Sus scrofa: one gene and its partners. The protein of the gene in region 3 interacts with the protein of the main gene of each other region in a pairwise test. Links are inferred from orthologs where the notes say so. Each region holds a gene or a part of one and is shown on either strand. Other genes may lie near its edges.

Region 1 (4,066 bases), on a different chromosome or scaffold from region 3:
CAGGCACAGCAAGAAGAAACTGGGACCCCACTGCCCTCATTACAGCCCACTCATAGGGCAAAAAAAGTTCTAGAAGAGTCAAGGAGACCAGAACTAGCATGCCTATGCACTGACCTGTTCCAACAAAGAGAAATAAGCTGTAGTCTCTGCTTCCAGCTAGAGAGCAGTGGCTCAGATGTTTTGCCCAGGGAAAAAAGGCAGGCAGTAAGAACTGAGAGCTCCAAAGATTTCCCTCAAAGACACTGACTTCACAATGAACAGAATATGGATTAGCCCAAGTCTAAAGGCACTCGTGAAAACAATGGCAATTTTAATGGTAAACACTAGCCAGGCAGTTCCTCACAAAGCTAAACATAGAATTACCATATGATCCAGCAATTCCACTCCTAGATATGTACACAAAAGAAATGAAAACACATTCAAACACTTGCACATGAATATTCATATCAGTACTATTGAAATAGCCAAAAGGTGGAAACTACCCAAATGTCCAACAATGGATGAAGGAACAAAATACAATATATCCATAGAGTAGAATATTATTCAGCCATAAAAAGGGATGGAGTACTGATAAAGATAGAACGCGGTAGACTTCCCGTTGCAGCTCAGTGGGTTAACAACTCGAGTAGTATCTATGAGGATTCAGGTTCGATCCTTGGCCTCACTCAGTGGGTTAAAGGAGCTGATGTTGCCACAAGCTGTGGAGTAGGTTGCAGATGCAGTTTGGATCCAGCATTGCTCCGGCTGTGGCTGTGGCACAGGCAGGCGGCTGCAGCTCTGATTCAACCCATAGCTTGGGAACTTCCATATACCACAGGTTTGGCCCTTTAAAAAAAAGAAAAGGAAAAGAAAAGAAAAGGAAAAGAGAAAGAAAGAAAGAAAGAAAGAAAGAAAGAAAGAAAGAAAAAGAAGGCGGCATGAAACATTATGCTAAGTGAAAGAAAACAGACACAACAGATCATTCGCTGTATGAATACACTTACATAAATTATCTAGAACAAGCAAATTCACAGAGATTAGAAACTCCGAAAAGCAGGAGTGGGATGGAGTAAGGAGAATGGGATGCTTAATGGTTAAAGAAGTTGTCTGGTGTGATGAAAGTTTTGGCAACAGTGGTGACAGTTTCCAAACACTGTGAAAGTAATTAATGACACTGAATTGTACACTTAAAAATGGTTAAAATGGCAAATTTTACCATAATAAAAAGAATTCCCAAAAAAAGCAAGTACACCAGAGCATCCACATCACATTTAAGCCTGGAGAAGAAACACTGCAGGGCTTAATGACCACATAAGTGGTCAAGCCGCTAAAGTCTGGGGGCAAAATGAAGAGTTGTTAAGTCCACACTGTGGAGGGCTTTGAATAAAAATGACTGAACTAGAGGAAACTGGCCACAGAAAGCTATTTTAGGCTTGTTGAAAGCTTAAGAACTAAATGAATGGAGATGTATAGGCAAGAAAGTTAGAGAAAAGTAACTGAAAATAAAAAAAATATTAACACAGGAATCCAGCAGTTTCCTTACTTCTGCTGCTGCCATACTGACTGTTGCTCATCTGTGACTATTTATATAACTTTCGACACAATTTAAGACCCTAGTAGGTAATTCTTTTGTTTCTTTTTTTTTTTTTTGGTTTTCTTTTCATTTTTAACCCAACAAACACCGACCAAACTAAGCCTATGCCTTAAAACAATGAACCAAATCTTGCCATTGTGACCTTAACCAACATTTTAGGGCCCATTAAACTCAAAGATGTGAAAAATTTGGACAAATACTAACCCAGATTTTCTTTTTTTATCCTTGAAAAAAAAAAAAAAGACTAGTGATGATTCGCTTTTTAAAAGATTTTGGTTTTTAGACAATGAACAAGCTGGATTTTTACTCACCAATTTCCTCTGATTCTTGCCCAGAGGCTCTAAGCTTGCATTCTTTTGGATAGTGTTTCTGAATTATCTTCCACAGTTCCATGTTGACAAGAGAATTTGTTCGGGTGCGGTGTCGAGTCCACGAAGAGACTCGGCGGCGACAGAAGGGGCAGCACAAATTTGCTTTTTCGACAGTCGACTGGAAGCATGGTTTACACAGCGTGTGGTTACAAGGGAGTGTCACAGGCTCAAATAGAATTTCCACACAGATCTGGCACTGGCATTCCGACAATGAAGGGATGGCGTCCTTGGGTACAGCCATTTTAATATGCTAAAAAGGCATATTCAATCAACATCAACACCTGAAAGAGAAAGAATCCTCATCTACAGCCCAAGTTCGGAGAAAGCGAATTAAGTTTTGTGTTTAAATTTTATGCCCAGTAGCCTACCAGAATTCAGAGACTGGGAACATCAAATGTCTTTAAAGCAAAAAAGTGTTCTGAGGGTCAGGTAAACAGTACGACCGTGGAAGGAAGTGTGTTTGTCCATGTTAAGACAAACGTCCGAAATGAAAACAAATGAACCTTGACTGCTCCCAGCATTAACAGCCGTTGCGGCAGGGCGGATGGTGGGCTCTCTGGCCCCCGCAGGAGGCACGCGCCAAGTTCCCCTCCTTTCTCTTACCAGGTGAGGATGCTCCCGTAGCTCCCGGAAGCCAAGCCGCAGACCGCAGAGGCGCGCAGCTACGCAGCCACCGCTAGAGGAAGAACGCTTCTTCCGCCCGGACGAGGAGCTCCGAAGGAGTAGGACTTCCGTTTTACCATTGTCGGGGGCCGCGCGCGAGCCCTTCCGGGCGCTCTGAGCCCGCCCCTCCCTCTCTTCCATCTACCCAAAAGCCTAACCTTGGCGCGGTGCTGTAGCAACCCGACAAGGGCTAGTGACGTCACGACTGCCCGCCAAAACAGCCCCTCCCACCTAGAGAACCAACCAAAGGTAGAGAGGGCTAACATTGGGGCGGGACTTCCGAGTCTGCGCGCGCTGCCCGACCCGAGCCCCGCGCCCCGCCCCCCCAGAGCTGGTCTTCTCGGTGTGTTGCAGTCCTTTCTTCGCAGACCCTGCGTCGTCACATTGACTGCACTTTAGTATTTCCCTCTTGATTTCTGCTCCCAGAGGCTGCAGAAATCAGGGTATGTCGCAAGGTTGGTCTCTTGTCAGAAAAAGTGAAACTTAAAGGCAAATTAAAAGCCGATGGAGTTCCCGCTGTGGCGCAGTGCTTTAAGGGTCCGGTTTGCCGCGGAGGCTAGTTTGATCCTTGGCCCTGTGCAGTGGGTTGGGGATCCCAGATTGCTGAAGCTGCTGCATAGTTCTTACCTGTGGCTTGGATTCGATCCGTGGTCCTGTCACTCTTCTGTGCAGTGGGTGCGCCCCCCCCAAAAAAGCTTGACAATAATTTTTAAATTCTTCCCTTAGTACTCCTCAAACTACCCTTGTTTCTTTTCATTTGTAAGGAAGCCTCTTAGGTCGCTTTCCAGAGTTCTTGTAAAAGCATCTCTAGGATGATTTCTGAGAAAGGCTGTGGTCAAAGAATCTGCAAACTTGCTACAATTTAACAGGTACTTGGGAAACAAACTGTAGGACTGGCAGGATCCTGGGGCTTAGCCAACATGTGCATCAATTATAAGGCACTGCTTTATTGTTTAATTTCAGTCTAGACCAATCAAAATTACAAAAGAAGTCAAAAGGAAAATATTTTAACTTTATGCATTTTGAAATGTTTTCCCACTTGGTTTTGTTAAGGCAGCTGCTCAACAGCCCTGCGCTGCAGCGTATCAGCTCTAGCGACAGCCCTGTGGCTGCAGTGTTTCAGCTCTTTTACCCAGGGAGAAACCAAGTGAGCACTGGGAAAGTTGGAGAATTCACGTTTATTATGCCGGCAGGCTCAGAGGAGATTGCTCTCCAGAGTCTGAGCCCGGAAGAAGTCTTTCACAAAGTTTTTATGGGCTACCTCTTCTGAGCTCCTGCTTGGCGGACCAGAGTGAGGTCAGGCAAGGTAGTAGATGCGGAAGCAAGCTTACTGCAGCAGATGCGTGAGGGAGGGGTGGTTAGGGGCAGGTGGCTGGACTTTGCTTAGTCATCATGACGGGGGGGGGGGGGGTGTCTCTCCTTTCTACCTTTTTTTTTTGTCTTTTTGCTATTTCTTGGG
Region 2 (3,500 bases), about 140 Mb from region 3:
TGAAGACACCTCGCCCACTGGGCTGCCTTCTGGCGCTCTCCCGGCCTCAGGTTCCTGCCACCTCCCCTCCAACCAACACACTCACCAGGTGTGGCTCCTGGGCAGCCAAGTTTCCTTGCCAACCTTGTCAATGCAAAACTTCTGTGGCCCATTGCTTCCTGTGGTCCGGAAAAATGCACTGTGTGTCACAGGATGGTCCCTTCCGAAGGCAGGACCCTCCGGCTCCAACCGCTGAAGGCTCAGCCTCCCTCCCACTGATCTGCTTCCAGGAAGACACTAGGTCCTGCCCCCTTCTTTGAGCTGTCCTCACCCCCCCAAGGGCACCCGCAGGCCAAGGGGAAATGTACCAATGAGTTCGACGAAGCCCCCAACGGGCAGGCGGCAGGTCCCAGTGACAAACTGCAGCAGCCGGATCCTCTTCTCGTTGTCCATCTCCTTCACCACCTGCAGCTCCACAAGCCAAGGCAGCGTCAGGGAGCCGCTTGGCCCAGTACCTCCCCTGACCTCTAACTCTCCACTGAGCCGGGCCCCTCTTTGGGACGGAGAACTCGGAGCCCGGGCTGGAGGGGGAGCTGACCACTGCCACCTGGGCAACCCCAAAGCCATTCTCTCTAAAAGGCTGTGCTGGCCTTTCCCACCAGGTGATGTCACATCGCTTGGTCTCAGGGACACTTTGGATCAGGCAGTCTTCCTCCCTCCAAGTTCTGCTTTTATTTATTTGTTTACTTATTTTTATCTTATTTATTTATTGTGGGGGGCTCATCTGTGGCAAGTGGAAGTTCCCAAGCTAGGGGTTCAATCAGAGGTGTAGCTGCCACACTACACCACAGCCACAGCAATGCCAGATCCAAGCAGCGTCTGTGACCTACACCACAGCTCCTGGCAACACCGGATCTTTAACCCACTGAGCAAGGCCAGAGACTGAACCCCTGTCTTCATGGATACAAGTTGGGTTTGTTACCACTGAGCCACAAAAGGAACTCCCTGATTTTATTTATTTATTTTTGCTGTTTAGGGCCACACTCGCAGCATATGGGAGTGTCCAGGCTAGGAGTTGAATTGGAGCTGTAGCTGTAGGCCTACACCAGAGCCACAGAAACACAGGATCCAAGCCACGTCTGCGACCTCCACCACAGCTCACGGCAACGGCAGATTCTTTAAACACTGAGCAAGACCAGGCATTGAACCCACGCCCTCATGGATTCTAGTCAGGTCTGCAACCCTGTGAGCCACAATGGGAACTCCCAAGTTCTGCTTTTAAAAGTATACTAAGGACAGGAGTGACTGCTTAATGGGTATGAGGTTTCTTTTTATGGGGGATGAAATATTCTGGAATTAGACAGTGATGAAGGCTACACAGCACTGTTAAAAGCCACGTCAGATCCACTGAGCTGTACACCTTAAAATGCTTAACCCAGTGAATTTTACAGCATAGGAATTTCACTGCCACAAAAAACCTACACATGCTTGTTCTTTTTTGTATATGCTATACTTCATAATGACGACAACGACTGGACCCACACACACAAAGGAATCGACTCATTGTATCTGAGACAACGAGCCCATTCCGTTTCTTTGGAGCCAACCTCATGCTTGCCCCTGCCACCTGGCTGGACAGGGACCCACAGGACAGACGAGAGCTTTCCTTCCTGTACATAATGAGCCCCCACTGCATTCCAGCATTTGGAGCTGGGCCACCCACCGCCCACCCACACTGGCCACAACCCAGATGCCACAGCTCCCTTTGTCTCAAGGTTGGGTGTCTCATCTCCTTTTGCAAGTTGAGGGAGGTGAGGAGAGGGTCAAAGACGAGGGAGGCGGTAACACAACAAGTATCCTCGAGCTTGGGGTGGAATCAGGTCTCGCTTCCTGTGGGGACTGCGAAAACGCCCCCGCCCAGACCCTTGCCCTGAGGGCAGGGACCAGACCCAGGGCCCACCTGCCAGAACCACTGGATCTGCTTGCTGTTCTTGGTGTAGTGCCGGTAGATGGTGTTCTTCTGCCAGTCGCTCATGTCTATCTCCTGCATGCCGCACAGCATCAGCTGCCGGAGAAAGCCCGGGAGTCAGCCACCCAGCCCAGCACCCCCCACGGCACACGGAGCTTCATCCACTCCCTGCCAGATGAAACACGTTTTCGACTGTCTCTGCCGGCAGGCCTAACAGTGCGGGCAACGCAAGTCGTAAGGTGGACCCCCTGCAAACCAGGGCCCAGGTAAGGGCAGGTGTGAACCCAAATCAATGTGACTGGCCTGCTGCCGCCCCCCAGCTAGACTTCGGGGTTCTCCTGGTGAGTCGCTGTGGGTTCCCAGCAAGGCTAGCAAAGAGCAGGACTGCCCCAGAGGCAGGGGTTCGGGGTCCCAACTACCCCAGCTCTCACCTCCAGCTCCTTCTCATCAAAGTAGCGCAACCACTCCAGGGGGGCCACCTCGTTGAAGCCATCGAGGAAGGCTTTGGTCTGCTCTTCCACGCCCCGGGTGAAACGCCAGTCAGTCAGCAGCCTAAAACCAGAGCCCGAGAGCCACGGCTCAGGAGCGGCAGGGTGGGGCGGGGAAGCCCACCGCTGGCAGCAAGGGGTCAGCTGAGAGTTGACTTCAGGCCGGCGGGGAGACCCAGGGCTGCTGCCAGCCCCAGGGAACAGCCTTTAAAACCTCACCGGAACCCAGAGGCACTTGAATCTTTGAAATCGCCTCCTCCTCCTCCTCCCACTACTGCTGACATGTGGAGGTTAAAAGGCACGACCATGAATGGGCATGTGAGATAATGGATTTAAGTCAACTGGACAGAATCAGGAGAAAGAAGAGGGCGCCATCTAAATTTTATGCCTCATCAAAGGAATTCAGCCCTATAGCCTTTTGTTTTGTTTTGTCTTTTTAGGGCCGCGTCTGCGGCATATGGAGGTTCCCAGGCTAGGGGTCGAATCGGAGCTGTAGCTGCCAGCCTACACCACAGCCACAGCAACGCGGGATCCAAACCACGTCTGTGACCTACACCACAGCTCACGGCAACGCCGGATCCTTAACCCACTGGGCAAGGCCAGGGATCAAACCCCCAACCTCACGGTTCCTAGTTGGATTTGTTTCCCCTGCGCCACAACAGGAACTCCCCGGCCCTGCGGCCTTGAAGTCCACCACCTGGGGGACAGAGAACCCAGGAGGGGAACAGAGGGCCTTGGGCTTGGGCTCCAGCTGCTCACTAGGGTCAGTCCCTGACTGGCCACAGCAGCCACCTACGGTCAGGGCCAAGTGGGAGGTTCTTTCCACCCCTGGCGACCCACGGGCCACGTGTGGGGGGCTGGCTGAAGAGGGCACCCAGAGACAAGAGCAGGAAACCCTCTCTCTGCAGCCAGCTGGGCCTCTGCTCCCCTCTCGCAGCCCCCCAGCCCCTCAGCCCCCAGCGCTTGAGACTCACATGATGTACTCTTCCTTGTTCTCCTCGGTCACCCGGATGCTCTCCCCGCCTTCCTTCAGCTCGTGCGTCGTCACCTTGCCCAGGATCTCC
Region 3 (3,976 bases):
TAAATTTGCATATCAGTATCTGGGTTATTCATTTCAAGAAGGGGCAACCACAAAAAACTCCCACTGTCACAAATAACATGTTTCAAAAAAAGTTTCTTCATGATACCAACAAAAACTCTACCTTATCCTCCTCGAATAGGCAAATACGATCTCCACAAATTCTAAAAAAGTTATCCTTAACACTGTATTACCATAAGGACATAAGAGAAAGAGGGCAGTAAGTCAAAGATATTTGACTTTCCTGGAAGGTGGCTAGGGAACACAGGAGATTTTGAAATAAATATCAAACATCTAAGAAAATATGCTTATGAAACTGAAATAAGCACAATGACCTATAGCATTTATGAAGAAAACCAAGAGTGAAATATAAACAATGTACTTGCTTCAAAGATTCAGAACAACATCCAGATTTATTTTGAATTTTTTAAGACTTCTCTTGTGAGAATTCTTTGGAAGAAATGGGTGTATAAACTTACAAAACTAATACTGAATTCAAATTCATTAATTCATTCATTGGGGACATTGTCTCTATTCTCAAAGGCTTACAGTCGTCATTTATTTCACAGTTACTGAGCCAGACGGTGGGCATACAACACACAGGAACCATGGGGACCCTACCTGCATGCAGCTTATACTGGAAGAGAGAAATGCCTCAAGAATGAGACACACATCTAACTAAACAAGGATAACACTTAAGTATTCTATATGCTGCTTATGGAAGTGTAGAGGGTTGTGGGGCGGGGGCACAAAGAAGGGAGTGATGGATTCAAGGTGTAAGGGAGGGGAATGTAGGGACTTCAGATACAGATGAGTTCTCAAAGAGGATCAGAGGTTCACCTGGCCGACCTTGGGGAAAGGGCTCCAAGCAGAGGAAGGAGCTAAGGCAGAGAGGTGTGAACAGACTGCTGTATTTGATAGGCCAGGAATATGAATGTGAAAAATAAACCATGGAGGTTTCTGTATGCCACAGTAAGACTGGACTTTACTGGTATATATGAAAGGTTTCCGAAGGGTTTTATTCAGGAAACTAGCATATGTGATCAGGTTTTTCTGGTGTGATGAGGCACTGATTTACATAGGTATGAGAAAAGAACAACACTAGATAATGATGTCACCACATGAAACAACAAAGGAGAAAACTAAACCCTGTTCAGGAAAAAAATTAAGGCACTTAACTATCCAAGTCCTTCTGGGAAAAAAGTTTTTAATCAACATCATTTAAAACTGAAAAACTAGACAAAAGGTTTATATATATACATAAATATTATGTATTATAGTATCTACGTATCTATTTTGAATTTTCTAAAGAGGTCTTTAGCTCTTTACTAATTGTGTAAAGACAGCTGAAGCTGCTGACTGCTGTGCAAAAGGCAATGAAGCTGTTTGGGAGAGAAGCCTTTGATACAAAGGGAGAACCACAAGTAAGAGAAGGTATTTCTCAAGTAAGGTTTAAAGGTTTCCAGAGTTCAAGATAATCACGTTCTATTAAGTCAGCGCGTTTAAAAGGTGTGTCATAGGGGTGGAGCAAAAGGATTAAGGATTAAAATTTTTAATTTACTATATATATAAACAAGTAATCCTTGGTGCTGCTCGAACCAAAAAAACTACCTGAAAATCTCCCGAGCTGAGGGAGAAATGAATGCTTACCAGATCCAATTAATCCTACCAGATCCAATTAATCCAAACAAGGTAGGGAGGAAAGGATGGTCACACTTGGAAGTATAAATGAGGTGGGGGTTAACCACCTATCCACAACCCATAATTCATCGCACCTGGCGATGCGATGTGGCAATCGTCTCCAAACCTCACAGTTCAGACTCCACGACTCAGACATAAAGGCAGGAAAATGTCACTTCCAAACTCCACAAGCTAACCACTAGCCACCGGCCAAGGGGACATAATCATATATCCGAATTTCAGAACTCAAGGACAGAAGTACCATCCCCACATCGAGGTGAAAGAGTCCCCCTATTTCTGGAAGTGAAGAGCAGTCGCCCTCAAATTCAGTCCTAAGCGTGTCAGTGCCCCTGAGGCCAGGTCTTACCGAAACCAAGGGCAGTGACAGCCCGAAGCCCCCACGACCTCGGCCAGAGCTGCCTCTGCTCCTCGCACCCCCCTTCCCCACACACACCCTCCGTACCTGATATGGCGGCGGCGGCTCCTGATCCGGCTCCGTCCCCTCGCCAAAGCTAGCCCGGTCGGACTGAGACTCGTGAAGCAGGGAGATGTCATCTGAAGTGGGGGATTTGAGGCAGTTCCCCATCTTCTGGGGTTGGGGTGTGTGATCTAGGGGAGGAAGAAAGCAGCGGCGGGGTCCTTCGCACGCTCTGCGGTCAGCCCCGGTCAGCGACGTGGGGTCGAGTGGCAGGCCGGGGCTCAGGCGGCAGCGGCTCCCCCGCCCCCCGGCGCCGCCGAAGGGCCGCTCATGCCAGCCCCCGGGGTTGGGGGCTTAAGGCTGGGCCGCGGGCTCGGCTGGGGTCGCGGCGGTTGCCTCCTACGAGGCGGCGGCTGCCTCCTACGAGGCGGCGGCGGCGGCGGCGGCGGCGGGGGGGGGGGGGGGCGGGGAGACGAAGAACTTCCCCACCCCGCCCCCCCGCGGGGCGGCGGCGGCCACGAAGCTGTTGGGCCTAATCCAGGTCAGGAGGGGGGGGCGCGGCCGTCGCGGCTCCCTCAGCTGCTGCCTCAGCTGCTGCTGCCCCCGCCGACGCCGGAGCCGCAGCCGCGGGCCTCATCCTACACCGCCTCAAAGCGGCGGCGGCGGCCAGAACGAGGCCAGCTGCGGCCCTGCGTCACGCCGCCGTGCGTGCCCTGGTCCCGCCCCCGGCGTTGGGAGGTGTAGGCGGCGCCGGCCCCGCCTACCCGGTTCCCAACAGCTGTTCCCCGGGCTGCGTCAGTCTCTGCTTCTCCGACAATTAGCTGGGGACCGAAACCTCTGAAAGCTCTCTTGGGTCTCCTTGCCTCCCCACATCCACTGCTCCCTCCCCGCTTGCCTCACTTCACACCTGTACGCTGTTTTGTCAGTCTTCTCACGACCTTCTGCCTAGTTATCTATTTATGAACCCGTATTTGAATGGATCACTCCCATTATTAACATATTAAAAGGTTTACCATTTATCCCTTCAAATAAAGTCCAGACTCATTAAGGAAACTTTCCTAGCTCCCCAATCGCTTCCTGATCCTCCTATATCACAGCCAGAAAGATTCTTCTTCCAACTATACTAACTGAATGCTCTATTTCTTTTTTTTTTTTTTCCCACTGTACAGCAAGGGGGTCAGGTTATCCTTACATGTATACATTACAATTAGGTTTTTTCCCCCACCCTTTGTTCTGTTGCAACATGAGTATCTAGACATAGTTCTTGAATGCTCTATTTCTTTCCATTCCCACCACCATAGTACAAGTTACCATCATATTTCTATTGTTGTACTTGGAACCCTTCCCCCTGCATTCACCATTGCCCCTATTCAATCCACTATTTGTTCAGTCCAGTTTTCTTTTTAAAATGTAAAGCTGATGTCCCTAGGGGGAATTTAAACTTTTTAAAATCTTCAATGGCTTCCCAATGCTGTTATGGCTAAGCATTAATTCTTAAATGGTTTACAAATCTGGCTACCTCCTCGATCTCATTAGACATTGTTCCCTGACATATTCTACACTCTAGGATGCCTAAATAAAGTAGTCCAGTTATCTAGAAGGGATAACTTTTACCTTTTAAAAGTTAAAACGCTAAGGCTTTACCCACACTGTTTCTCTGACAGAAACTCACTTCCGCCCACTTCTGACCTTATACCTCCCATCAAGCTAAACATTATCCCCACTTGTCCTTCCTGGACTCAACTTTGGTTCCACTGGGAAGCCTCTCCTAATCGTGGAGTCTGGTTGCCTAGTTGCCTCTCCCTGAGCTTTTCTCTATTACAGTCTGATCAAGCTGAATCATCTGTCTCTCCTCTGTGCAGGGCCTGGCACATTGCTTAA
Region 4 (4,185 bases), on a different chromosome or scaffold from region 3:
AAAGAAAAAAGTGATGACTCTTTTTAAACCTTTTTTGACATGGACATTTTTATGCTACACACACAACGTGGTACAGGTTTAGAAAAAGAACAAAGTAAGCCAAAATCGGATACATTCCTTTTTAAATGTAATCTGAAGGGAGTAATAGAAATGTCTTTGAAGGCTGAAGCAAAATGTAACCTACTTGAGTGAAAAATCAATAAGCTATCTTTCAGGAAAATTGTACTCAACAATTGTCTAATGGTCTTTTAAAGGAAGTAAATAAACAAATGGAAATGAGGAGTTTAGGAGACAGCCGCCTTATTTTTTTTAATCCTAACAATCTAGTTCTGTGTGAGACTTTTTTTTTTTTTTGCCCCACTGCCATTTCTTCCTCTTCCTTTGCTATCAGAACCCTGATTTGATTCTGGGATCCTGGGGCCACCTGTGAAAGGCAGACCAGATCCTGAAGCCAAGGCAAGCATCATGATAGGTAATCATGGTAATCTCAATTCCTTCACCAGGGCCTGATTTGGTCCTTGAGACTTAAGGGGAGATTTACATAGGAGGAGGGCCTTGGTCTAAAAATAGACTGCCCCACATTCAAAATAAATTCAAGGAAGGAATTATTCTTTGTTTTTTTTGGATGTTGTGAGTCTGCATGTGATGCCCAGGGCTACTACAGCCATCTTGCCACCATGAGGCAAGACATCAGGCAGGACTAATATTGAGGATAGTAGAATGAAAGATGGAAAACATCTGGGCTGATGACATTTTCAAATAACAATAGCCCTGCAATTCTCTCTATTTTAATGAGATAATACCTTTCCTACTGTTGAAAGCCTTTTAAGCCATGCTTGTTACTCATAGATAAAAGCATCTCAATGGCCACAACTTCAGAGCCTAATAAGGAAATGCATTGCCATGTTTAAAAATGTTCTGATAAACTGACTTAAAATAAGTAGTCAGTTCTGGGATTCATTGAAGATATTATCAGTGATGTAACTAAGGAAACATTTTCTCTTTTGGAACCAAATTGAAGCAGTGAAGAAAATAAACCATTAACTAGGAACTGCCAAACAACAGTCCCTAGGCCAAATCCCACTTGCAGACTGTTATCGTAAATCCTGTAAGACAAAACCAATCTGTACTTTTTTTTTTTGTTCTTCCTAGGGCTGCGCTCGCAGCATATGGAGGTTCCCAGGCTAGGGGTTGAATCAGAGCTACAGCTGCTGGTTTACACCACAGCCACAGCAATGTCAGATCTGTGCCGTGTCTGAGACCTACACCACAGCTCATGGCAACGCCGAATCCTTAACCCACAGAGCAAGGCCAGGGATCCTCATGGATCCTAGTCAGGTTTGTTAACTGCCAAGTCACAACGGGAACTCCTATATTTTTTAATAGTTGAAAAAAAACATCAAATGAATAAGAATATTTCATGACACATGAAAAGTATATGAATTAGAATTTTGGTCTCTAGAAAGGAAGTTGTTAGAGCATAGCCATGCCCATTTGCCTGTGGCGGCTACATGAGAGCTGAGTAATTACAGTAGAGAATATATGATCTTCAAATGATCTTCAAAGCCTAAAATATTTACTCTCCGCTCCTTAAAGAAAAGTTTTGCTGACCATTGCTACAGACCAATGGACTTACCTCAAATTGCATGGTAGAATTACTCAAGGAACTTTCAGAAATACTGATACCAGGACCCATCTAGACCAATTAAATAGAAATAGAGCCAGTGAATCTATTACAAAGGCAAGGCTGAAAGCCATTTCTCTACGTAATGTGAGTGCATACAATACAAGTGAGCTTCAACCTGGACAGATTTAATAGGTTTAGAGAAAACGAAATAAATCTAGCTTCGAACCATCATTTATAACCCCAAATTCTCTGCCATCAGCCTAAGTTTCACCTGTCACCAATTCAATTCACAAAGCACAAAGCGGTGTTTGCAACCAGAATGTTAGAAACAACAGTGTAAACAGTACATCCTTGTTTAAATGTTGACCCAACTGGCACACATGGGTGGTACTGGTTGTTAGCACTCCAAGACAGAGTGGGAGTGGAATTGAAGAAAAACAAACAGAGGAAAGAACTAGACTGTTAACAGCTAAAAAGTATTTGGGGAAACAATTATAGCCCAAAAGGATTAACGGAAGGGAATAATATAGCAACAATGACCAGAATGTAGACGTTTTCACTAAATTCTACACTGGATCAGAAAATATCACTCAGGTATCATTTTATAAAAAGGAAAAGGGGTGCAGTTCCTGGTCTGGCCTGGAAGGAGCTTGAAAGTCATTCCTCCATTCTAAAAACAAGAAAAAGCCGAACAAACTGAAAAATCACCCACTCTTAAATCCATGAGAGAACGAAGGTCTCAGGGCAAATCTCGGGCCCTCACATTAGAGAGACAGGGAGACACAGAAAATCACAACTTACCAGAGCGGAAACCCACAAGCAGAAACCTCCTCAGGAACCAGTGCCGCAGTCAGGAAAGCTGAACTGTATTTGACAGGTGGCTGGAGCCGCAGAGTAGACAAATCGGAGAATTAAATATTCCAGAGGAATCCACACTTTGTGAGCTTTGCCTCTAGGAGCCCTACTAGACTCTCACAGTGGAGATCTGAGAGGAAAATCTTCTTGTGTTTCCTGAAGAAGGAGCCGAAGAGGAACCACCTTGAAATGTGCCAGAGCACTCACTTCTTAACAAGGTCCGCCTGCAGGAGAAGCTATTTTCTAGGGCCTAACCTGCTGGGATTTTATCTGTGCCTAACTGACCTAGGGGAAGGGAAATGCCCAGCCCCAGCTGGCTCTATTCTTACACTGGGGAAGCGAAATACGCAACTCCTGCTCCTCTAGGCATCTTGTTCCAATTAAGGGGGGGGAGTGGGGCAAAAAAAAAAAAAAACCCACAACAACAGAGAAGCACGTGTGACGTTCACAGCCCAGCAGCACAGGCTCATCAAAAGACTGACACCTAATCATAAAACTATAAAACATTTTCCCTTCCCCCACACCTAACCACCACATCATTAAAGGCCTATTTACTGCAGTTCCTTTTACTCAGTACAAGTCCATCTTTCAAGAAAAACTTGTAAGGCATACTAAAAGGCAAAAGACAGACACCATTTGAAGAGCCAGAGCAATGTTCAATCCCTGGCCCAGGAACATCCACATGCTGTAGGTGTGACCAAATGCATGCATATATAAATAAAGACATACGTAAATTAAAAATAAAGGCATGGAGAAAGATATGCCATGCTAACACCAGTCAAAAAAATTCAGGAGTAACTCTACTAATTTTAGACAGAGCAGACTTCAGAGCAATAAAAGTTATCAGAGATATAGAGGAGCATTACATAATAATAAAGTGGAATAGATTCAGATATGGCAAGAATGTTGTTAGAATTATTACACCAGGAATGTAAAATAAATATGATGAATATGCAAAGGGCTAATGGAAAAAATAGACAACATGCAAGAACAGATGGGCAATGTCTGCAGAGAGATGGAAATTCTTAGAAAGTACCAAAAAGAAATGCTGGAACCAAAACACTGTAACAGAAATAAAAAAATGCATTTGATGGGCTAATCAGTAGGCTGGACACAGCTGAGGAAAGAATTTCTGAGCTTAAGGAAATGTTAATAGAAACTTCCAAAACAGAGATGCAAAGAGGGAAAAAAAAAATGGAAAAAAAACCCAAAAGATAATATCTAAGAACTGTGAGACAACTATAAAAAAGTGTTACATATGTATAATGGGAATACCAGGAAGAGAAAGTAATAGGAGAAATATTTGAAGCAATAAGGACAGCAATTTTCTTTAAATTAATGTAAAATGCTAATGTCAGAGACATCAATCATGAATAGTTCCAAAAAACACTACACCTAGGCATATCATATTCAAACTACAGAAGATCAAAAATAAAGAAAAATCTCGAAAGAAGCCAGAGGAGAGGAAAAAAGCCTTACTTATAGTAGAGCAAAGATGAAAATTACATGCAACTTCTCAGAAACCATGGAAGTGGAGCAGAGTGAAATTTAAAGTGTTCAGAAGGGGAAAAAAAATCAACCTGAATTCTGTACCCTACAAAATTATTCTTCAAAAGTGAAAGATAAATTTAGACTTTCTCATACAAACAAAAACTGAGAGAATTTGTTTCCAAAAGACATACCTTGAAAGAAATGTTCAAAGA
Region 5 (4,154 bases), on a different chromosome or scaffold from region 3:
CTGTTGTAACATTTCTAGGTATACAGTTCCAATTGTGCTTACTGTACTGCATATAAATATAGCAAAAAAGATCAAAGAATGGTATAAATCTTACAGCATTTTGCTAGCAAAAATACATGCCAAAGTCACAATAAGCAATATTGTACCACAAATTAGAGTTTCAAATAATTTGTTTCTGCTTTTAATATTTTCAGTCTACATTAAATTACTATCATAGTCTAATGTTTAAAATGCAAATAAATTGGACATCTGTAGGACAAAACTTGTTCACCCAACCGTAAAGGTTGATACCAGTTCTCAAAAATCACAATAAATGCAGAATAAAGAAGTGTTTGCATGCAACACCTTTGAGTGAAACAGCATTGATTCCCACCATTCAAAACAGAGAAGGAAGGCAAGAAGGGAGGGAAGAGAGAAGGAGGAAGGGAGGAAGGAAACAAAGAGGGAGGAAAAGACTCCACCTTAAAATGCATATTAGATTTATAACTAGACAGATTTAAAGGAATCAAAATGAAAGTAAAGCACAATTCTGTGTGTTTAAAGATTTAAGAGCCATTATCAAAAATAAGATACATTTTTTCAAGGTACAGAAGTATAATTACGATGGCTGGGAGCCCAGCAGCCTTTCAATGGCTGCGTTGATGTCGCCTCCTGTTGCTATTAGAGCCTGCAAGTTTGCTTCCCGGTTTAAGAACCCCATTGCGTTGAGCTGTTCCAGTTGTTGCTGAAATCTGACTTCTGGATTCGGCAGCTGCGGAGGATTTGCTCCAGCGAGAGCCTGCACCATTTGCTGAATGAACTGCTGGTTGGGTCCAGATTCCGATGTTGGGCTCGTCGTGTCACTGGGTGCAGAGCTAGACACGGTGGGCCCAGGGGGGGTTCCAGAGCCAGTGGAACCAGGGGGACCTGCAGGGCCAGTGGGTCCTATGGGCCCAATGGGGCCTATGGGGGTAAATGGGACTATGGGGCCAATGGGGCCTATGGGTGTGACTGGGCCTACAGGGCCTATAGCTGTTCCCAGCACCCCTACCCCCACCCCTGGAGTGAAGCTTGGAATTAGGCCAGGAGCTTCAGTAGCTAATGTCTGTAGCCCCTGCTGGATCTGCATTAAAGCCTGCATTGCTCTTGGGTTTGACATGGCTGACAGTGTGTCTGGATTCTGCATCTGCTGCAGGAAAGCAGGGAGCTGTGGACGCATCTGCTCCTGCAGCTGAGGATTTGCAGTAAACACAGGGCTATTCAGCATCATCTGTGCAGCCAAATCTGGATTCTGGCTAAGCGACTGCATCATGCTTCTCATATAGGGCGCAGACAGCATATTCTGGATCAGCTGGGGGTTTTCGGTTATCTGTTGCAGCAAGCTCTGCATTCCTGGGGTGCTAAAGATGCTAGCGACATAATTGGCTGCAGCAACTGTGTTCCCCGTAGCACTGCTGGAGCTACTGCCAGATCCACTGCCACTGCTAGTTGTTGTGCTAGTGGTCGCAGAACTCTGGGTAGCCGGTGGCGGTGCCCATGGATTGGGTAGTGGATCTCGATTTTCTGTGCGAGAAGGCTGCGTACCTTCCCCAGAAGAGGAACTGTTCCCCACCGAGGCAAACGGATTACCCCCAAACTGCTCCTGTGCGGCATTCAGCATGGGTTCTTGAATGTCAGTATACATGCGCCGTAAAGCATTGTAGCCACCTGGGATGCTTTCGAGATTGCTGAGAGCCAGGTCTTGATTTCTCATCATCTCTTGCATCATAGCTGGATTCCTGGCGATTTCGAGGGTCTGCCTCATTATATCTGGGTTGTTAAGCAGGTGACTTATTTCTGGGTTTCTTTGAATTAATTGTTGCATCTGTGGATTGGCCATAATGAGCTGCCTCATCAGATCAGGATTTGAAAGCATGCTCTGAACAAAGGGATTTTCCATGATTTGGATCATCATCTCAGGGCTGGACAGGAGCTGCTGCTGCATCTGGTTCTGGAGCTCAGAGAAGTTGGTCGAGCTTAAGCCCAAGCTGCTAAGGCCTGCAAGTCCTCCCAGGCTCCCCAAACCAAACGGGTTGCTATTTGTGGAAATAGGTGTGGAGTTACTCCTGGGAGTCGACGCGGTGGTAGTATTAGTTCCCGCGGCACTATTGGGCTGTGTGGACTGACCCTGAGGTCGGTTCTGGCTTTTGATGACAAGGTGAACAGTCAGTCCATCATGGATGCCATGCTGGATCAAGGTATCTTGATCTTTTAAGATTTTTCCGGCAAAAATCAGCACTAGCTGATCGGTTTGGGATTTGAAGCGTTTCGAAATCGCTTCTTTAAACTGTTGGACTGAGCTGTTCTCGGGCACTGCGAACTCCTCTTTCTCTTTGGGGGTCTTCACAGTGACTTTGATGATTTTAGGCTCCGCCGGGGCAGAGGCCGGGCCTTGCGCCGCAGCAGAGCCGCGGGAGGGGCGCGGGGGGCCGCTGCTCTCGCCGTTCTCAGCCATGGCGGCCGCGGTGACGCAGGCAGACAGGGAAGGCGCGGGCGGGCGAGAAAGAGAGCGAGGGAAGAAGGAAGGAAGGAGGCACCGCCGCAGCAGGCTGAGCCGGGCCGGGCGGGAGAGCGGAGCACGGTACCTCTGTGTTGAAGACTGCGGTTCCCTGGTCCTCAGATGGAGAGAGGGCTCCGTGTAGGCCACGGACCGAGGTTTCGGCGTTCAGGTCTCTGGGCCTCCGCCGCCACTGCCGCTGCCGCTGCCTCCGCCGCCGCCGCCGTGTGATCCCACCCCCACCCCGCGCTCTCCCAGCAGCTCCCGCAGCCGCTCCGCCCGCTCCTCCCCGCCCCTTCCCCTCCCCCCAGTTCGGCTCTCGCCTCCCTGCCCCCGTCTGCTGACGCGGCGCCAGGCGCAGAATGATAGATTCGACTCGGTCAAAATTAAAAACTTCTGTTCTGGAAAAAAAAAAAAATGAGGGAGAGAAAGAGAGTGAGAAACAAAGAGAGAGGAAAACAGGAGAAAGAAACAAAGAGACTAGAGAAGACAAGAGAAAAAAATACGGAAGGGGGACGGGAGCCAGTTTCTATAAAGGGAAATAAAGACTAATGGAGAAAATATACATGTATTTCGTAAGATATACATATATATCTATACATAGATATATAGATGTTCCGTTAGAGTGAAGTGAAAGAATGAAAGCCTGAATCGAACCCAACCCAAGTAAAAGATTAAAAATAAAGAACTCTGACAAAGCAAAAAGGAAAAGATTAACACCCACCCCAACCCACCTCTCACCCTAGGGTGAAGAGAAGAGGGCTGGGCAGGATCCTGCATTTTACAAAAGAAGTACAAATGGCAAATGGGCATATAAAAAGATGATTAAGCTCACTAGTAATGAAAGACATTCAAATTAAAACAAGGAAATTCTTCTTTTACTGGCAAAGATGAAAAATAATAATAAATCTTTGAGAGAGCTGAGAAAATGCACGCTTATGCCAATTGAAATGTAAATTGTTATAATCATAAGATGATTTTAACATATATATATCAACATTTTATATAGTTCCACCTCTGTTTGGAAATGTCTAATTTAGAGACCTCACCTATGAAAATAACAAAATAGGAATGCAGAAATGCATATGTATAAAATCTACACTCATTGCAGCATTTAAAATAAATATTTAAAAAGGATAATCAGTGTCTCTTTACACAGGATTGGTCAGATATATTATGATATTACCATAAAATAAAATAATATCCACTATGTTTAAAAATGGGTGGTTAATTTGTATGACATGAAGTATCTTTAAAGGAAGATATGAAATAAACAGTAGTTACAAGGAAATTACAGAGTATTTTCGCTTTGTATATTTCCATGCAGTTAGAAATTATACAAGCATGTATGGTTCAGTACCAAAAAACACAGTAAGTATATTTTTACTTTAGAACAGTTTGCATGTGTAAACTGTCTTTGAAGACTGTATGTATAAAAGTAATCAAGAACACTGTAGGCCAATATGAAAATGGTGGTTATTGGTGCTCAAATTATGAATAAACTATCTTTTTAAAATAAAATTTAACTTTTTCTGATGGCCTCCGTAAGTATACCTTGCATTTACAGTTTTAAAAGATGAGAAATTATTTTACTAAAAAATTGTAGATGGCAATTGGCAGGCACACAATAGTAGTGGCA
Region 6 (3,500 bases), on a different chromosome or scaffold from region 3:
CCGACCCAAGTCCCCCGTCCCCTCGCTCCCCCAGCGGAAAGGAGGGAGGCGAGCCTTCGCCCGGGCTGCGCAGAGCGCAGGGCCTGGCCCGCTGCGCACGGTGCCGCGGTGGGAGCTGCCTCTGCTGCCTCCCCCCTCACTCGACGGCAAACCCGCAGGTCTCCTCCACCGCCGTCAGCAGCTTCTCGTACAGCTTCTCGTACGACTCATAAGGTGGAATGTCGATCCGGTTAAAGCTGCAACAGGACAGCAAGGCCAGAGTCACCGCGGGCGCCTGGCAGGGGCAGAGCCTTCTCGGCCACAAGGTAGCAGCATGGGGGCGGGGAGGGTTCCCTTTCGGGCCTGTGCCGTCCGTCTCACACTTGGTTCCCCCCCAGGAGCCACCCCTTCCGTCCCCCCCATGCTCGGCAGCATTAGGAAGCAGCCGTCTTCTCGATGACTGGTCCCCGCAGTGAGCGGGGCTGATGTCATCGGAAACCGCGAGGGAACAACCCACGAGCGACACGCCAGCCAACGAAGAAACACGTTGCACACACGAGGCGCGTGTGTTGGAGGCGGGGCCCGGGAAGGTCAGGTGTGGGAGACAGCGGCCCCACACCAGGGGGTGCCCTGTTCCCGCCCGACGGTGCGCACAGACCCCGGGCCGGGGGCGGCTCTGACACAGTCACGTCTCGGGAGGAGCCGGGTCCTCAGAAGGGCCCCGGGGTCCCCGCGTGCCGTGTCCTTACCAGGTGTGGGCCTTGGGCAGGTTGTCCGTGTTGGCATCAATCAGGTGGATGGTGAAGAGCCGGGGCCCTGCGGCGCCTGTAGAACCTTACGGAGCAACATTCTAGTTAATGCGCTTCAGCGGCCCAGCCCGGGCCCCCTGCGCCCCTGCGGCCACACGGAGGCCCCCACGTCGGGGCGGCTGTCCTGCCCGAGGGCTGTGGGGGTCACGGCCAAGGCCGGGTTTCAGGATATGCCTACAATGGCTGTGAAGTCACTAATATCAGACTTTCTAGAAAATGACAGGGGCAGGCAGAGCAAAGATGGGCGAGAACCCTCCAGCTGTAGCCACTGGCCTACGCCAGAGCCACAGCAACGCGGGATCTGAGCGTGTCTACAACCCACACCACAGCTCACGGCAAGGCCGGATCCGTAACCCACTGAGCAAGGGCAGGGACCGAACCCGCAACCTCATGGTTCCTAGTCAGATTCGTTAACCACTGAGCCACGACGAGAACTCCTGATTTTTTTTTTTTTTTTCTTCTTTACAGCACTGTTAAGCGAGCAGGCCCACTCTTGGCAGTAGACAGCAGGGTCACAAGAAAAGCAGGACAGAGTCGGGAAAACTCCCCAGGCAGAGGCAAAAGAAAAAGACACAAATGCCTGAGACCAAAGCCCCAGGAATGGGAAGGAAGTTCTCTCCTGCTAAGAGGCCTTAAAATGAGTCCAGAGGGACTGCCCTTTACGTGAACGGCGTCTGTTCCCACTCTTACTATGCAAAGCCGTGTGTACTAAGTTCCAACACAGTAATGTTCTCACCTTACTCCTTCCAGCTACGAGGTTCCCAAGGGACAAGAATCAGGTTTTACAAACCGCAGGGCCGGGAGGAGCCTGCGAGGACTTCGCAGTGGCTGTGCTGACCACCGGCCCTCGGAAGCAGCAGCAGGAGAGCCCCTCCCCTTTCTGCAGCCCAACTCCAGACCTGGGCGTCCCGTCGGGGCGGGAAGGGACGCGAGAGGGGACGGGGGCCTATCAGCAGTGCACGCGTATAGATGAGGAAACGGAGGGCCGGGGAGGACCCGGGAGCCAGCGACTGCACGGCAGCAGCAGACTGTCTCGGGCTCTCCCCCCTGTACCTCGGACAGCACGGAGAGAGCTGCTATCAGAAGATTCAGAAATGAATCTCGGCGCGCTCTGTTTTTTGGCTGTACCCACAGCATGTGGAAGTTCCCACGTCAGGGATCAAACCCGCGCCACAGCACTGACAAGGCCAGATCCTTCACCTGCTGTGCTGTAATGCACCTTTAAAACGGGTTCCTGTCCCCAAGGCCTTGTCGCTCTTTGTACCCGCCCTCTGTGCCCCATTCTGTGGGGGAGGGGAGGCCCTGGCTCCACAGGCTTTGCTGGCCCAGCCCTGCGTGGGCACCACTGCTGCCAACCCGGGGTAACCTGCCTGCTGTGGCTTTAGAGACCCTGGGGAAGGTGGCCTGTCTACAGAGTGCAGACACCTTCACCCAACCCCTCAAAGGAGAGCAGAGCCTCGAGCCCTGGGAGCAGGGGGAGAATGGCCACCGAGCGGCCACGGCTCGTGTGGGGGGAAGAGGGTCTCGGCCAGGCCAGCACCCCCGCAGCGCCGAGCAGCTCGTGAAAGAACCCACCCGACGGGGTTTCCTGGTGAGCCCAGGACACCCAGCCCCGCCGCCCTGTCAGTCACCTTGCAGGGCCTTGAAGCCCTGGAGGGGGACCCGCGTGGAGCCGGTCACGAACTGCAGGAGCCGGGCCCTCCGCTCCTCGTCGAAGGTCTCCACCGCCTGCCAGAACCACCGGACCACGTTGCTGTCAGCCCCGCAGTGCTTGAGCCGCGTGTTGGACTTCCAGTCGTCCAGGTCGATCTTGTCCAGGCCGCCGATGATCAGCTGCGAGGGCGGCCAAGGCAGGTTACCTCCCCACGCGCACACCAGCAGGCCGCCAGCCTCCCGGGACACGGAGAGTGACACACCACATCCCCACAGACTGGACACATGCTGACGAGCCGGCAGGCCCAGAGCCCACACTGCGTCTGCACCTCCCCGCTGGCTGGCACCCCCACCACTCTGGTGTAGCCACCGATGCAACGCTTCCCTGCAACCAAGTCTGTGTGTGTGTCTGCGTGGCACTGGGGCGGAGCAAGGACCACAGAACCAGCCTCGGAAAGGCCGCACGAAGCCACCTGTAAAGGGGCGCCTCACATGACCCTGCAGACACTCAGGGGTGCGTGGGGTTTAAAGTCCTAAGAAAAGGGACCGGGGCTTGTTCCTGAGACTTACTTTAAAAAGTCCACTCCCTCCGGGGAGGCGCCTGGGGACCCAGGGTCCTGGCACCGCACTCGGGGCAGAAAGACGGGTACAGTTTTGAAGACCCGCGCCCCTTGGCCCCAGAGACCCATCAGACATGAGCGAGTTGCTCTGTCCACACGACGAAGAATTACAAAGGACAGTGAGTGACACTCTGTTGTGAGCCTAAAACTAGCCAGAATCAAAGCAGCAAGCGGACGTGGCGGGAGAAGCTGGTCTTGACAATTCCCTGCCCGAGGTGACTCCTCGGCTGCTGGTGATCCTGCGAAGCAGGCTAAGCCGCAGACCATGGAGAACCGTGTCCCAGGAACTATCCAGAAGCCCTGCCGCCCAGCAGGCCCGGGGGCCTTGTCGTCCCCTGGCCCTGCCTCTGCTCCCCTGGGGTCCCGGGGCCCCAGGCCTGTGGGGAAACGGCTGCCTCACTCGGCGGCTGCCCCCCTCCCCACACCGGGCTGCGCGGCT
Region 7 (4,042 bases), on a different chromosome or scaffold from region 3:
CTTTTTTTTTTTTTTTTTTAGGGTGACAAGTTTATTGCTGGGTTAAGAAGCCACTTAATAGCATTTCCATTCTGAGTCACAGAGCAGACAGGTATGTTATGCTACACAGGTATCACCTACATTTTAGGGATGGGTCAACCTGCTAGAGATGTTTACTTTGCAGCCAATAGAAACACATGTGCCAACAATTAAACTCACGTGGTCAACACAAAAATTCTACTTCTCTAGTCAAACACTGACAAGAGTAAATGAAACAATATCTTAGTTCTTCTATATGTAGATAATAAGTACTGATCAAAAATGTTTTTTCTGAAAACCAACCACTGAAAATCAGAAATCAATGATTCCTTGGAGTTCCCATTGTGGCTCAGTGGTAACCACCCCAGCTGGCATCCATGAGGATGCAGGTCTGATCCCTGGCCTCGCTGAGTAGGTTTAGGACCTACTATGCTGTGGCATAGTCCTTTAGCAGCTATAGCTCCAATTCAACCCCTAGCCTGGGAACTTCCTTGTGTCACAAGAGCGGCTCAAAAACGGAAAAAAGAGAGATAGAGAGAAAAAAAAGAAAAAGAGGAGTTCCCGTCGTGGTGCAGCAGAAATGAATCCGACTAGGAACAATGAGGTTGTGAGTTCGATCCCTGGCCTTGCTCAGTGGGTTAAGGCTCCGGTGTTGCTGTGAGCTGTGGTGTAGGTCACAGATGCTGCTCGGATCTGGTGCTGGGGTGCAGGCTGGCAGCCACAGCTCCAATTGTACCTCTAGCCTGGGAAGCTCCATATGCCCTGGGTTTGGCCCTCAAAAGACAAAATGACAAAAGACAAAAAGAAAAAAAAGAAAAAAGAAAGAAAAGGAAATCAATGATTTCTCAAGTCCTCATGGAACACTTCTGAAAGCCCAACTTGGATTAAGAAGCAAAGAGATACAGGCAGAATTCCTGTTTATAGAAGCTTACAAGTAAGCAGGGTCAGACACTCTCCCACAATGACTAAATGAGAAGAGAATTCAATTCATTTAAGGAGCAGAAAAGATTAAAATACAAATAGCACATAATCAAGCACTATGCTGGGAACAACCCTCATCAGTCAACACACAGCAGCCTATGTGTAAGCCTTATATAAAATTCCATTTTAACCAGGCAAATAACCCTCCTTAAAACCCTTCCCTGGTCCTGCCATCACCAGATAAAAGCCCCCCAAGAATCTCCTGCATCTTTTCCCCTATCAGCCACCACAGCTCTGCCCTGCACTTTTTCACTTTTCAAAAACCACCTCCCGGGAGTTACTGCCCTCTTCTCCTTTAGTTGCCCCACGCCCACATTCCCACTACCCCTAAAATTCCCACCCCATCTTGCTAGTCTGAATGTTACTCATTCTTCAGGACACTTTCAGATACATTTCACTCCCTGCGGTCCCTCCAGACACTTGGGGTGTCCCCCCTCAGTGACCTCTCTTAGCTCACACTGCTCACATTTATGGCAAGGATCTCTGCTGTCCTTCTCCCTTAAAGTGCCTACTTTCTGGAGAAGAAAATGATGGCTTGGAAGGTCCCCAAAATTCAAATCCTTCAACACTTCTTAATTTTCCACCTGAGAATCAGTAACTCTTAAAACTAACGTTATCTGTCATGAAATGGATCGAATAAAAATCAAATCTTCTTGCACCTCTGGGAAGCTTCCTTGGTACTGCTTAAGTTACTTATTAGTAACCTTAATAGACTTGGGGGGGGGGGTAAGTGTACTTTTGCAGCCTTAGGTTTACAGAAAAAGGTACAACAATGAGTTAATCTCAAAAACAAAACAAAAGCCACAACTCTTCAGATCCAAAAAACGACTCCCCAGGTGATGCTGTAAACTCATCCTGACCAATTTTCACATCTAAGCTCATGAGCAAAGCGAGCCCCCATAGCCCACGGACACATTTCCCAATCACAGGGCTTGGCCATCAGCGTTGAGACACCACCAGCAGACTCTGATCTACTCCCTGAAGCGGCTGGGTCCCTCCTCCTTGTCGACTAAACTTCCGTGATGAGCATCACCTCTGCTCTCCTCCAAGACGGTTCGGAAGCAGGGACTTGTGCTCCTAACCTCAGGCCCACAACTTTGTCCTCAATCATAGGGCGAAAGTTAGGACCAGTCTTCCAGCTCCCACGCCGCGAAAGACAGCATCCTCCCAGCTCCCGGACCCTTCCCTCTCTGAGACCGACGCGGGTTCCCGAGGTCCCGGCGGCCCTGCCCAGGCCGGGCTGCGACGGGTCCCCAAGGAGCCCAAGGCACGACCCAGCCGGTCACCACCACAGGTGTCCCTTGGTACTCTGCCGACTGGACTGAGTGAGCCGGTCGGAGGGAAGCCATCCCGCGAGAGCTGGACAGGCGGCAGGAGGCGGCCAGGAAACGAGACGCGTCTGTCCGTCGGAGTTGGGCCGGGCCGCGGGCAACTTGGCGACAAGCGCCCTAAAACGGCAGGCCGAACGCGCAGAGGATGAAGGGGGCCGGCGACGGCCTGGGACCGGCCAGGGCCCCGCCACCGGGCCCTGGGCTGGGACGAAGGACGGCAAGAGGGACCGGAGCGAGATGGCCCCGGCCGGGTGGACAGCCTAGACCAATGACCCAGCAGCCCCTGTCGGGACGGCACCGCCACCGCGAGTCGCGAACCGCGCCCCCCTCGGGTCCCGTCCGTCCGCCCCGTACCTCGCCGGCTGCTCCACCCGCGTCGGGACCGCAGCTCTCCCCGCGTCGCTCGAGTAGGTCCCGGCGCCAGTCCACAACCCGCCCTCACGCCGGCCCTCCCTCTCGCACGCCCCGCCCCCGGCGCCGCGAGCGCACGCCACGCACGCATGACGTCACTTCCGGGGCTCGGAGCTCGCCGGGAGGGTGTAGGTGCCCATCGGCATCTGCCCTGGGTGGCGCGAGGGCGAGGCTGGCGTGGATGACAGTGGCGACAAAGCCGTCGGGCATGAGGAAGGAGGCGCCCTCAGCCCTAGTGCTGGGTCCCTGACCTGGAGCGTTCAGAAGCCGACGGAGAAGCCGGCGTTTCCCTGTCTTTTCCTCACCCACTGTATTTGGGAATCCCACTGAGAGAGACGCTGCTCATCCTTAGCTCGAAATGGGAGGCACTGGAAAGGCTGCGGGAGAGAAGTCTTTGGGCCAGTGGACAGTTGCAGTCTGTGGGGAATGAGGCTGCCTGAGAAAGTAATGAATCCCATAGCTTCACACGGATCTTAGGATTTTGAACGTGGTTTGAGTTTAAAGGACCTTAAAGAGAGTGACTGACCTAGAAGCAGGTTTTATAGCTGAGCATAACTGAATTCCAGAGGTTAATAAGTTACCCAGTGTCACACAGTATTAATGATCGAGTCATAAATGGAATCCAGTTCTCCGTGATTCCCATTTCAGGAATGTTGGAGACAGCGGCTGCCTCTGTATTCTGGATGGTATCTATGGCACAAAGTGCAGCCACGACTGGGAGAAAAAAAAAGAAAAAAGAAAAGAAAATACTAGAGTACAGTGTCTGGAGGGAGACCTAAGTTGGAATACCAGGTTTGCTAAATGCTGCCTCTGATCTTGGACAGGTTGTCTAATTTCTCAGTCTTTGCTCATTATTTGCCAAATGGAGATTGATTCATTCCTCAGATTATTCCTAAATTCTGTAGGGAAGCAGAATATGCCACCCAAAAATATGCCTCTGAGAAAGCAGAGAAGCCCTGAAAACAAACCAGAAGTTAACCTTTTGTACAGGAAATGAAGCTAATGAAGGAGATCACGTTAGTAAAGGGGTCTCCCTCTGTACCTGGGAGAGAAGGATGACTCTTAGGTCACTAGAAGCTCAACTATGGATAAGACACTGACTTAGAGCTGCATGACAAACCTTAAGCTTATTTTTATTCCCCTGGTCACCTCCCATAACTGGTCTCCCCTACACACACACACACACACACACAAACACCTTTCCTGTTTTTTCTTTATTGGAAAATGGTATTTAAGTGGGCATTCTAAGCCTTTTCTCAGGGTATCTCCTTTGTATGTGTGAGGTATACATGGTAATAATT

What was found.
Region 1: the proteins of RNF11 (region 3) and RNF168 interact in binary tests that used the Homo sapiens proteins (3 or more experiments, as listed by UniProt). The link is inferred for Sus scrofa from reciprocal best matches to the Homo sapiens genes RNF11 and RNF168.
Region 2: the proteins of RNF11 (region 3) and WWP2 interact in binary tests that used the Homo sapiens proteins (3 or more experiments, as listed by UniProt). The link is inferred for Sus scrofa from reciprocal best matches to the Homo sapiens genes RNF11 and WWP2.
Region 4: the proteins of RNF11 (region 3) and ubiquitin-conjugating enzyme E2 N-like interact in binary tests that used the Homo sapiens proteins (3 or more experiments, as listed by UniProt). The link is inferred for Sus scrofa from reciprocal best matches to the Homo sapiens genes RNF11 and UBE2N.
Region 5: the proteins of RNF11 (region 3) and UBQLN2 interact in binary tests that used the Homo sapiens proteins (3 or more experiments, as listed by UniProt). The link is inferred for Sus scrofa from reciprocal best matches to the Homo sapiens genes RNF11 and UBQLN2.
Region 6: the proteins of RNF11 (region 3) and SMURF1 interact in binary tests that used the Homo sapiens proteins (3 or more experiments, as listed by UniProt). The link is inferred for Sus scrofa from reciprocal best matches to the Homo sapiens genes RNF11 and SMURF1.
Region 7: the proteins of RNF11 (region 3) and RABGEF1 interact in binary tests that used the Homo sapiens proteins (3 or more experiments, as listed by UniProt). The link is inferred for Sus scrofa from reciprocal best matches to the Homo sapiens genes RNF11 and RABGEF1.

The regions. Positions count from the first base shown.
Region 1 is NC_010455.5:133,624,280-133,628,345, reverse strand, and holds the start of RNF168 (E3 ubiquitin-protein ligase RNF168), read right to left. Parts: upstream 2,801-4,066; 5' UTR 2,548-2,800; exon of another isoform or gene 2,313-2,547; intron 2,226-2,312; 5' UTR 2,186-2,225; coding exon 1,885-2,185; intron 1-1,884. UniProt on the Homo sapiens protein: E3 ubiquitin-protein ligase required for accumulation of repair proteins to sites of DNA damage. Acts with UBE2N/UBC13 to amplify the RNF8-dependent histone ubiquitination.
Region 2 is NC_010448.4:17,070,983-17,074,482, forward strand, and holds part of WWP2 (NEDD4-like E3 ubiquitin-protein ligase WWP2), read right to left. Parts: coding exon 3,411-3,500; intron 2,501-3,410; coding exon 2,380-2,500; intron 2,045-2,379; coding exon 1,940-2,044; intron 445-1,939; coding exon 348-444; intron 159-347; coding exon 86-158; intron 1-85. UniProt on the Homo sapiens protein: E3 ubiquitin-protein ligase which accepts ubiquitin from an E2 ubiquitin-conjugating enzyme in the form of a thioester and then directly transfers the ubiquitin to targeted substrates.
Region 3 is NC_010448.4:160,908,914-160,912,889, forward strand, and holds the start of RNF11 (RING finger protein 11), read right to left. Parts: upstream 2,801-3,976; 5' UTR 2,264-2,800; coding exon 2,141-2,263; intron 1-2,140. UniProt on the Homo sapiens protein: Essential component of a ubiquitin-editing protein complex, comprising also TNFAIP3, ITCH and TAX1BP1, that ensures the transient nature of inflammatory signaling pathways. Promotes the association of TNFAIP3 to RIPK1 after TNF stimulation.
Region 4 is NC_010443.5:26,024,423-26,028,607, reverse strand, and holds the start of ubiquitin-conjugating enzyme E2 N-like, read right to left. Parts: upstream 2,801-4,185; 5' UTR 2,429-2,800; intron 1-2,428. UniProt on the Homo sapiens protein: The UBE2V1-UBE2N and UBE2V2-UBE2N heterodimers catalyze the synthesis of non-canonical 'Lys-63'-linked polyubiquitin chains. This type of polyubiquitination does not lead to protein degradation by the proteasome.
Region 5 is NC_010461.5:48,946,708-48,950,861, reverse strand, and holds the start of UBQLN2 (ubiquilin-2), read right to left. Parts: upstream 2,801-4,154; 5' UTR 2,474-2,800; coding exon 599-2,473; 3' UTR 1-598. UniProt on the Homo sapiens protein: Plays an important role in the regulation of different protein degradation mechanisms and pathways including ubiquitin-proteasome system (UPS), autophagy and the endoplasmic reticulum-associated protein degradation (ERAD) pathway.
Region 6 is NC_010445.4:6,040,379-6,043,878, forward strand, and holds part of SMURF1 (E3 ubiquitin-protein ligase SMURF1), read right to left. Parts: intron 2,622-3,500; coding exon 2,420-2,621; intron 814-2,419; coding exon 729-813; intron 237-728; coding exon 137-236; 3' UTR 1-136. UniProt on the Homo sapiens protein: E3 ubiquitin-protein ligase that acts as a negative regulator of BMP signaling pathway. Mediates ubiquitination and degradation of SMAD1 and SMAD5, 2 receptor-regulated SMADs specific for the BMP pathway.
Region 7 is NC_010445.4:16,373,796-16,377,837, forward strand, and holds the start of RABGEF1 (rab5 GDP/GTP exchange factor), read right to left. Parts: upstream 2,801-4,042; 5' UTR 2,685-2,800; intron 1-2,684. UniProt on the Homo sapiens protein: Rab effector protein acting as linker between gamma-adaptin, RAB4A or RAB5A. Involved in endocytic membrane fusion and membrane trafficking of recycling endosomes. Stimulates nucleotide exchange on RAB5A. Can act as a ubiquitin ligase.